Linked DNA regions of Rattus norvegicus. The protein of the gene in region 1 interacts with the protein of each later gene in a pairwise test. Links are inferred from orthologs where the notes say so. Each region holds a gene or a part of one and is shown in the gene's direction. Other genes may lie near its edges. The genes, in order: Gsk3b and Bcl2l12.

Evidence for each region.
Region 2: the proteins of Gsk3b (region 1) and Bcl2l12 interact in a two-hybrid assay, tested with the Homo sapiens proteins (2 studies listed by BioGRID and IntAct). The link is inferred for Rattus norvegicus from reciprocal best matches to the Homo sapiens genes GSK3B and BCL2L12.

The regions. Positions count from the first base shown.
Region 1 is NC_086029.1:76,055,677-76,059,485, reverse strand, and holds part of Gsk3b (glycogen synthase kinase-3 beta), read left to right. Parts: intron 1-3,090; coding exon 3,091-3,197; intron 3,198-3,809. UniProt on the Homo sapiens protein: Constitutively active protein kinase that acts as a negative regulator in the hormonal control of glucose homeostasis, Wnt signaling and regulation of transcription factors and microtubules, by phosphorylating and inactivating glycogen synthase (GYS1 or GYS2), EIF2B, CTNNB1/beta-catenin, APC, AXIN1, DPYSL2/CRMP2, JUN, NFATC1/NFATC, MAPT/TAU and MACF1.
Region 2 is NC_086019.1:104,614,390-104,618,914, reverse strand, and holds the start of Bcl2l12 (bcl-2-like protein 12), read left to right. Parts: upstream 1-1,476; 5' UTR 1,477-1,529; intron 1,530-1,764; coding exon of another isoform or gene 1,765-1,865; exon of another isoform or gene 1,866-1,903; intron 1,904-2,205; exon of another isoform or gene 2,206-2,307; intron 2,308-2,469; 5' UTR 2,470-2,650; intron 2,651-2,763; exon of another isoform or gene 2,764-2,906; intron 2,907-3,216; 5' UTR 3,217-3,224; coding exon 3,225-3,331; intron 3,332-3,515; coding exon 3,516-3,658; intron 3,659-4,525. Other genes in the region: Irf3 (interferon regulatory factor 3), read right to left, coding at 1-118, 1,278-1,476, 1,765-1,865.

The DNA.
Region 1 (3,809 bases):
TGATAATTCCAGTCACTCAGTAGATGTGGGAGGTCATTAGTTTGAGGCTGGCCTAAGCCAGGTAGTGAGACCCTGTGCGAAAGGAAAGCCTCTGTCAAGTCAGTACTGTATGCATGGTAGCTTTTGTTTTAAAAACCCTTTTGTGACTAGTGTGCAAACACACATAACAAACATGGCTTATTCTGAGTTGATATGTAATACCTCATACACGATTGTCTGGGACGGGATGTTTGAGGATTATCGTGTACTTGGGAAACTTACATTCCCAATGACTGCTCTTTAGTATAAACTCCTTGAGCTTATGGAATACATATATCTGCTCCATCTTTATTACTAATAAATCTCTTAAGTTATACATTTGCATATATTCCTTTAACTTCACACTCAACCTCAATACAGGAGTGCAGTAAAATACAGAGAGGCAATATTTTTCTCTATTAATATTTACTATTAATATTTCCTCTATTATTTCCCCATTTTTGCAGATTCTAACAAGTATGATTTTTTTTTAAACCGCCGATTTCTTGGTTATATACTGTTGCTAGTGTAAACTCCTCATGCTTTCTCTTTGTGTAGCATTTAGCTATAAAGCCTCCCAACATGCAGCCAAGCCTATACCCCACAGGACAGATCACCATATCCCTTCTTCATTCTCTATCTGTCGCCTCCGGGGGTAGCCCTACTCTCTGTGCTGAGACTTCTGTCCTTATAACTTGGGTGCTTTTTCATCCTTGTTAGAAGTTCTTCTTTTTCAGTTTAGCACCACAGATGATACATTGACTCCTGCTGTCTATAGTCCCTCCTCTTTATATAGACGTCTATACCAAACCGTAGATTAGATTGTGGGTTTAACATCAGTGCAGGTGAAGGGAGGTATTTGGAAAAACCGAGCCAACCTGCTGTCAGTAGGTTCATGCTTAGTCTTGTTCTGCAGTTTCTTTCAAGCCATTCCACTTAACAAACCCTATCCCAGGGTCTCAGCACTGCAGGCTGCGGCTCAGGTGAAAATACACACTAAGGCGTTTTTTTATTTGATGGTTGAATGGTGGGCTGCTGCTTGTTTCACCTATGAAAAGGCACCCAAATCACATGGGGTTTGTTACTGGGGAGAGTAACTGCCGAGTCCTGCAAGAGCCACCTAGTGCAAGTTCCTCTGCTCACCACCATGTCAGAGCATTGTTCGCGCCCGCGCCCAGCGGATTCTACGGGTGTAAAGTAGCTGTGCCTGGATACATTTGAAAGAGGGCTTTCACAGGTGTGAAATAGCTCATTCTTTAGCAACTCTGAGGTAGGATTTTGGAGACACTTAAGGTGAAAACTTAACAAAACTGCCTTCTTAATAATTTTTAATTAGGTGTAACAGGTCTGGCAGTAGCTGAAATGGGGTGTGAAAAAAACCCATTTTATAGAGTCTAACTGGGGTGTCTAAGGGCCATTAGGTAAAGGGAAAAGTTAGTTTCGTTGGTGATGAGGGAAAAGGATACAGGCTGTCAAAGCTCTCAGTTGGATGACTGAGTTGTTGTGCGTTTCTCTTCTAAGCATCTGCTTTACCCATTAAAAATGTGCCTCGTGGGGCTGGGGATTTGGCTCAGTGGTAGAGCGCTTACCTAGGAAGCGCAAGGCCCTGGGTTCGGTCCCCAGCTCCGAAAAAAAGAACCAAAAAAAAAAAAAATGTGCCTCGTGTGTTTGGTTTCTGAGACAGGGTCTCTGTGGCCCTGGCTGTCGCAGCAGCAGCTGCCTCTGCCTCTGTAGAGCGCTGAGACTGAAGGTGTGGGCCACTGTGTCCTGCTTGCTGGTCATTCGTTCGGGAGCTGGATTTAAACTCCGCATCCTAGAGCTGCTTTTTCAAGGGGCCATTCCAAGTCCCCAAGGCGCACTTCTGAAGATAGAAACGTCTGTTATCGAGGGCACTAACACTGAATATCTTGACTTTTTTGACAGTCTGAAAACCTTAGTGTTGTTAACATAGCGAACACTGTTTTATCTGGGCCTAAGAAAAAGATTAAAATTTGAAACAGATAATGAAGGAAAGAACAAATCAAGTTTAGAGCCATCATTGAGTAGAAGTAAACTGAAAGGGAGGAAACCTAGACCCCCAAGACTGAATGACCATTTTCACATGTCTGTGTCCTGCACTGTTACCTCAGATTTTCCACCTGTTTTTGGCATTTATTTATTTTTTTCTATTTGTTCATTCATTTGATTTTATCGCATGTATTTCTTTTCTGTATCTCATGCTACTGTCAGAACAGCTCCTAGAGCAGCCTGCTTATATGAGATGGAGTTACCCAGAGAGACATTTCAAGAGACACTGTGACTCACTTTAACATTTAAAATATGTACTGTAAACTACTTTAGGAGGAAAGTTGTAATAATATGTTCAACGTAGCACTGCAGCGATGGAGCAGATCGGGCCTGAGTCACTTAAATCAAATGCCTTTTACAGTTTGTTTAGCAGTAGGTGTTTAAATCGACTGCGGTGTGGAAGCATGGATTGGCTGTGTAAGGCCGAGCTGGTCATCCCGGGTCTGAAGACCAAGTTTAACAGAGTAGCCAGGTCCCCCCCACACTCCCCCTTTTAAAAGCATATAGGTGGGGAATACTGATACATTCACTTCTATGATTTGCTAACAGTCTTTTGTTGCAGAAGGTTGCTCTTTAATTTCCTGCCCTTCATCTTTATATTTTATTTAGTTACTTATTATTTTGAGGCAGTGTCTCACTGTATACCATTGGCTGACCTGGAACTCTCACTACAGAGTGGCCTCCATCTCGCAGAGGTCCGCCTGTCTCTGCCTCCCGAGTGCTGGGAGGGAAGGTCGCACCACCTTGCCCGTCAGCCATTTTATATTTCACAAGTTGAATGTAGGAAATGGGGAAACCAGAAGAAATTGAACATGTGTGTCCTTTTGTAATTTTTTAAATCTCTTTGTTCCTTAGCTAAGGCTTGACAAATGCTCACTTTAAAAATTCCTCTTTAAAGTATCAATTTGCTGAACTTGTGTATTTCTCTTGTTGGAAACATTTCAAGTGTGTTGCTTACAAGGTTTAGACGATTAAAGATTGTTTTTTATTTTTATTTTTCATCAGTGCAAAGCAGCTGGTCCGAGGAGAGCCCAATGTTTCATATATCTGTTCTCGGTACTACAGGGCACCAGAGCTGATCTTTGGAGCCACCGATTACACGTCTAGTATAGGTAAGTGCTGGCTCTGGGTGCGGTGGGTGTGACTGTTAACTGTCCTGACCCTTCTCCAACAAGGCAGGGCACGACAGAGCAGGGCTGCAGCAGTACACTTTTGCAGAAATGAGTAGAATTAATTTTTTTTACATTTTAGAATTTATGCTTTTCTACTATTAGAATTATAAAAATATTATTTTGTATTGTAGTTGCTTAATGCATTTGTTTGGCTCTTAAGTTTCAAACAAATGTTGATAAGCTTTTAAAAACATTACTGAGGCAGAGATGGATGGCAAAAAGACGTGTGTGGAGCTCAGTCCCAGCCGCGCTGGAGAAACTCAGCTGCTGAGTTAACTAATGGGGTCTGCACTGGTTTTCTAGTTCTGAAATGTTTACTTCTGAGCCTAAACTACTTAGAAATGTGTTAATAAATAATGTTACTTTTAAAATGTTAATATTGTAATCGGTAGGGCAATGATATTCCTGAATCCCTACAATGATGCATCGCTTAATTTTTGAGCAACTTAATTCATTAGCTTTTCAGCTAAGCCCACTGGTTGTTCAGATCTCGCTGGAGATGTCTATTGATAGAAGGGTTAGAGATGGTTGAGGTCTGCATTGACCCTATCT
Region 2 (4,525 bases), on another chromosome or scaffold:
CCTCAGCTAATCGCAACACTTCTTTCCGGTTCAGGGCTGACCGGAAATTCCTCTTCCAGGTTGACAGGTCTGGCTTATCCTTCCCTGGGGTGTAGGCACCACTGGCTTCCGCCCAGGCCTGATACATCAGTGATTCCAGGACAGTAGGGAAGACTACTTAGACACCTCCCACCATATTCCATACATTTCTGGTTCCTGACCTAAGTTCTCACATTCATAGAGCCCCTAGGACTTCTGTCCCGACCTCATCCTTATCTATATTTTCCACACTTTAGAAAAATATTTTTGAATATGAGACAGGGTCTCACACATTATAACAAAGGTAGGCTCCAAGTTTCGACCCTCTAGCTGCCACTTCCAGAGTGCTGGGATTACAAACGTATGCCACACATCCACCTTCAAGCCTTTTGATTTTGGTTTGTTTTTTTTTTTTAGGTTTATTTATTATAGACGAGTACACGTAGCTGTCCTCAGATGTGCCAGAAAAGGGCATCAGATCTCATTACAGATGGTTGTGAGACACCATGTGGTTGCTGGGATCTGAACTCAGGACCTCTGGAAGAGCAGTCAGTGCTCCCAACCGCTGAGCCATCTCTCCAACCCAAGCCTTTTGTTTTTTAAGCCAGTATTCTAGGACCTACTTGGTACCTCACCCCACATTCTGTTACTACCATGCTGATCTGGTAGCTAATAACCCCATCCTGAGGGCTGTTCCAATTCTTAAGATTTAAGGGATCTAAAATCAAGAGCCCACCCCCCCCCCGAGATTTCCCATCCTCTAATAAAAGAGCTGTTCTCAACTATCCGAATACAGATCCTCATGATGTAGTGAGTCCCCAGCCCCAAATTTTTTTCATTGCTACTTCAAAACTGTAATTTTGCTGTTATAAATCTTTTTTTTTTTTTTTTTTTTCCGGAGCTGGGGACCGAACCCAGGGCCTTGCTAGGGCCTTGCTCCTGCTAGGCAAGCGCTCTACCACTGAGCTAAATCCCAACCCCAGCTGTTATAAATCTTAATGTGAATATCTGTTTTCCAATGAAAGGCCCGTTCAACCCCCAAAGGGGTTGCGTCCCACAGATTGAGAACCATTGCTCCAGAACAGTTTTTTAGAGACACAACCTGGCTTTCAGAATTCTATTCCTGGAATCTGCCAATCAATTCCGGGCTGTCCCTCCAAGTCTATCCCACCTAATTAGCAAGACCCAGCCCTGTCTAGTCACGCCCATAAATGCCTCTGAAGTCTCAACGCCCCCCCCCGCCCCCTCCCCCCCAGCACCTGGAAGATGCCAAAGTCAGCCATCTGTGCGTCCTGTCGTAAGCCATGCTTCCATGGGATCCTGAACTTTGTACGGCTCTCGTCCAGCCAGGCCACACCTTTCAGCTGTCCCAGGTCCAGCTGAGACACCAGCCAAGGCAAAATCAGCGGTTTCGGGGTTCCCATGATCCAGCCTGCGCATACAGTGCAGTTCCTGAGCCTGTATGTCAAGGGGCAAATGCACTCAAACCTCTCCGACCCGATACAGCACAGGCCTTCCTTCACCCTGTTTTCCTGTGTACAAACGGGAAACTCCTTCCCACCTTTCCAATTCCAACGGGACCGCCTATCCTACCCCACAGTTTTCCATAGGTTCTTTCCCTTTTCTAAATGTAAACCCCTATTACTCAAAGCAAGTACCCCATTTCCAGGGTGGAGTCCTCTTTCCCTGTCTTTAAAGAATCATGACTGTTCTCACACCCACCTCACCCTTGCAGAAAACCCTTACTCATTTCCAGAGTCTTCTCCCAGCTGCTGTCGCTTCTTCTGCTTTGTCTTTTCTACATTGTTTTTATGGATGTTTTGAGACAGGGTCTTAGTATGGAGCATAGGCTGTCCTCGAACTTGCTATGTAGCCATGATTGGTCTTCAACTCACTGTGTGGCCCAGGCTGGCCTCGAATGCACTCTGTAACCCAAGCTACCCTCAAACTTATTCAGTAGCTCAGGCTGGTCTTCAACTCGCTTAACCCATGCTGGTTTGGAGCTCATTCTGTGGTTCAGCCTGGCCTGGAGCTCACTGGCCTCGAACTTGCAGCAATCTTTACTGCCTCCAGTCTGGATGCTGAGACTGCAGGCTTCCGTCTACAACGCGTAACCATTCTGGTTTTCGGTAGCCGAGCTCCTGTGCCCTGAGGCCGCCACCCTCCCGGTTCTTCCGCGTTACCTACCAGGGGAGGAATTGCGCGCTCGTGGGGCGCGGGTGTCAGCACTGGTTTTGGGGCTCCCAAACAGTAGTTGAGACTCGCAGCCACGCAACCCCCTTCTTTGTCAACTAAGCTTCCGAGCGTTGGGACTTTCCTTTCTAATGGTATTTTGAGATAAAAAAAAAATTTCTCATCATTTACTTTAAGAAAAGTCAGAAAACCTAGGAGCACACTCCGACTGAACCGGCCTAACTCCCTCAATGCCCTTTTTTGGCCTTCCGCCTACAGGCATGCTGGGAACGCCATATGCAAATGATGCAACACAGCGCTCCGCCCCCTCGACGTTGGGGCGGTTACCGTGTCGGCCCAGTGCGCAGGCGCGGGAAAGTTGAACTTCGGAAGTAAAGTTTGTAGAAATTGAGTGAAAGCGTGTGTGCGCCAGTACGACTGAGGCAGAACCCCGATCCAGGTGAGCGGGGTACCAGGGAGGGAGCTAGGTTGCAGGAGAGGTCACAGCCAGTCCTGTCTCTCTGACTTCCAAGCACGGAGGTCTCCTGGTGCCCGCCAGAGGTCATTGGAACTACATCTCCCAGCAGGCTGCTCGGTGAAAAAGAGGGGAAACCCGGCTAGCGTTTGCCGCAAAGCGTACTAGGATTAGTAGTTCCCTATTCTCTAGGGTCTTCGAGACTCCTTCAGCACTCAGGGCTCCCTTCCTGCTCCTGCATGTAAGAGTCCAAGCACTCAGTTACGTCCTTTCTTTCTTTCTTTCTTTTTTTTTTTCTTTTTTTTCGGAGCTGGGGACCGAACCCAGGGCCTTGCGCTTGCTAGGCAAGCGCTCTACCACTGAGCTAAATCCCCAACCCCTACGTCCTTTCTTAGATTCAATAATTCAGGCCCTTTCTCCTCAACGGAATCAACTGCCCCACTGGCCCTTAAGCCACCTTTTCCTTGGAGTAAGGTGTCCTCTTCATTCAGTGATTGAATGAAGTTTGAGTTATCACTCCATTTGGGTACATTCTCTGTCTTCTGCTTCAGGTACCTCCATGGCCGGCTCTGAAGAGTTGGGTCTCCAAGAGGACACACTGAAGGTTCTGACTGCCTTCCTTAGGCGCGGTGAAACTGCTGGGTCCCCTGTCCCAACTCCACCCAGGTGAGATACTATTCCACTCCCCCAGGGCCAGCCTTTGATCAGAAGATCTTCCTGAGTCTAGTGGTCTACTCCCTTCATACCTAACCCCATATGTCTGTCCCAAGCTTCAAGAATCTTCCACGAGAGGACGAAGGGATTGTTTGCTCAGAACCCTCTGGGATAACTCTGAGGTTCTTGCCCCTAGGAGCCCTGCCCAAGAAGAGACAACAGATTTCCTGAGCCGACTCCGAAGATGCCTCCCTTGTCCCCTGGGGCGAGAAGCTCCTCCCCCTGAGTCCTCTAGGCCCTGCTTCCTTCCCCTCCGTCCCTGCTATGGTTCAGAGCCTGGTAAGAGATTTCTTCAGATCACTTGTGAAATTTGGAGGCTAGCAGCCTTGGTCCTGAAGAATCCAGACAGTACCCATTATAAAGTCAACACTGCTCAGCTTCAGTGCCGGCCATAGCCATTTCAGTTCTTTGTTACACTTCTTTCTAGGGGGTAAGTGTTTCTGCCTGGATGGGAGGTATCCTGGGACTCCAAAGCCCAGAAACCACACAGCTCTGAAGGATGAAGGTATCCCAGTGCAAGAGAGACCTGAGACCGGGAGCCCAAGAATCATGCAGCTCTGAGGCGGGACAGTGTCCCAATGTTAGGGCATCCTGAGACATAGGGGCCCAGGAACCACACAGCTCTGGGAGGAAGCCTCCTCGGCAGAGGTGTTTTGGTCAAGGGAGGGTATCCATCCCCAGCTGAGCCGAGGTGCTCAGGAGCCTCAGCCCCGCTCCACTTCTTTGCTTCATTGCTTCTTTTCTTCTTGGCGCCTTCTGATTAGAGAGTCACACCAGGCAGAAAATCTCATGAAAGAGACTTTTTGGAGGGTTCAGAGTATGGAGGGACAAATCCATGGATGACTGCCCTCTGCTCCTGGGATCAGACAGCAGGGAATTAGACAGAGGGCAGGGCTTATATAGGACTTCTTAGAGGGTGGAGCTTCTCAGGGCAGGGATTTCCAGATTGACGATTGGTGGGATTTCAAGTCCTGAGCTTGGGAAGCTCAGGGATTGGTGGCCTTTTTTCATCACCTTTTCCCTGCATTGGGCCCATGGGTTAGGATGAGAAGCCCTCGGCTGCAGGCTGTTTTGGCTGAGATGCCATCTCTGTGGGGCTGCTCCAGGAGGATGGAGAGGAGCTGCTACCCCTGGGGACAGCTCCTG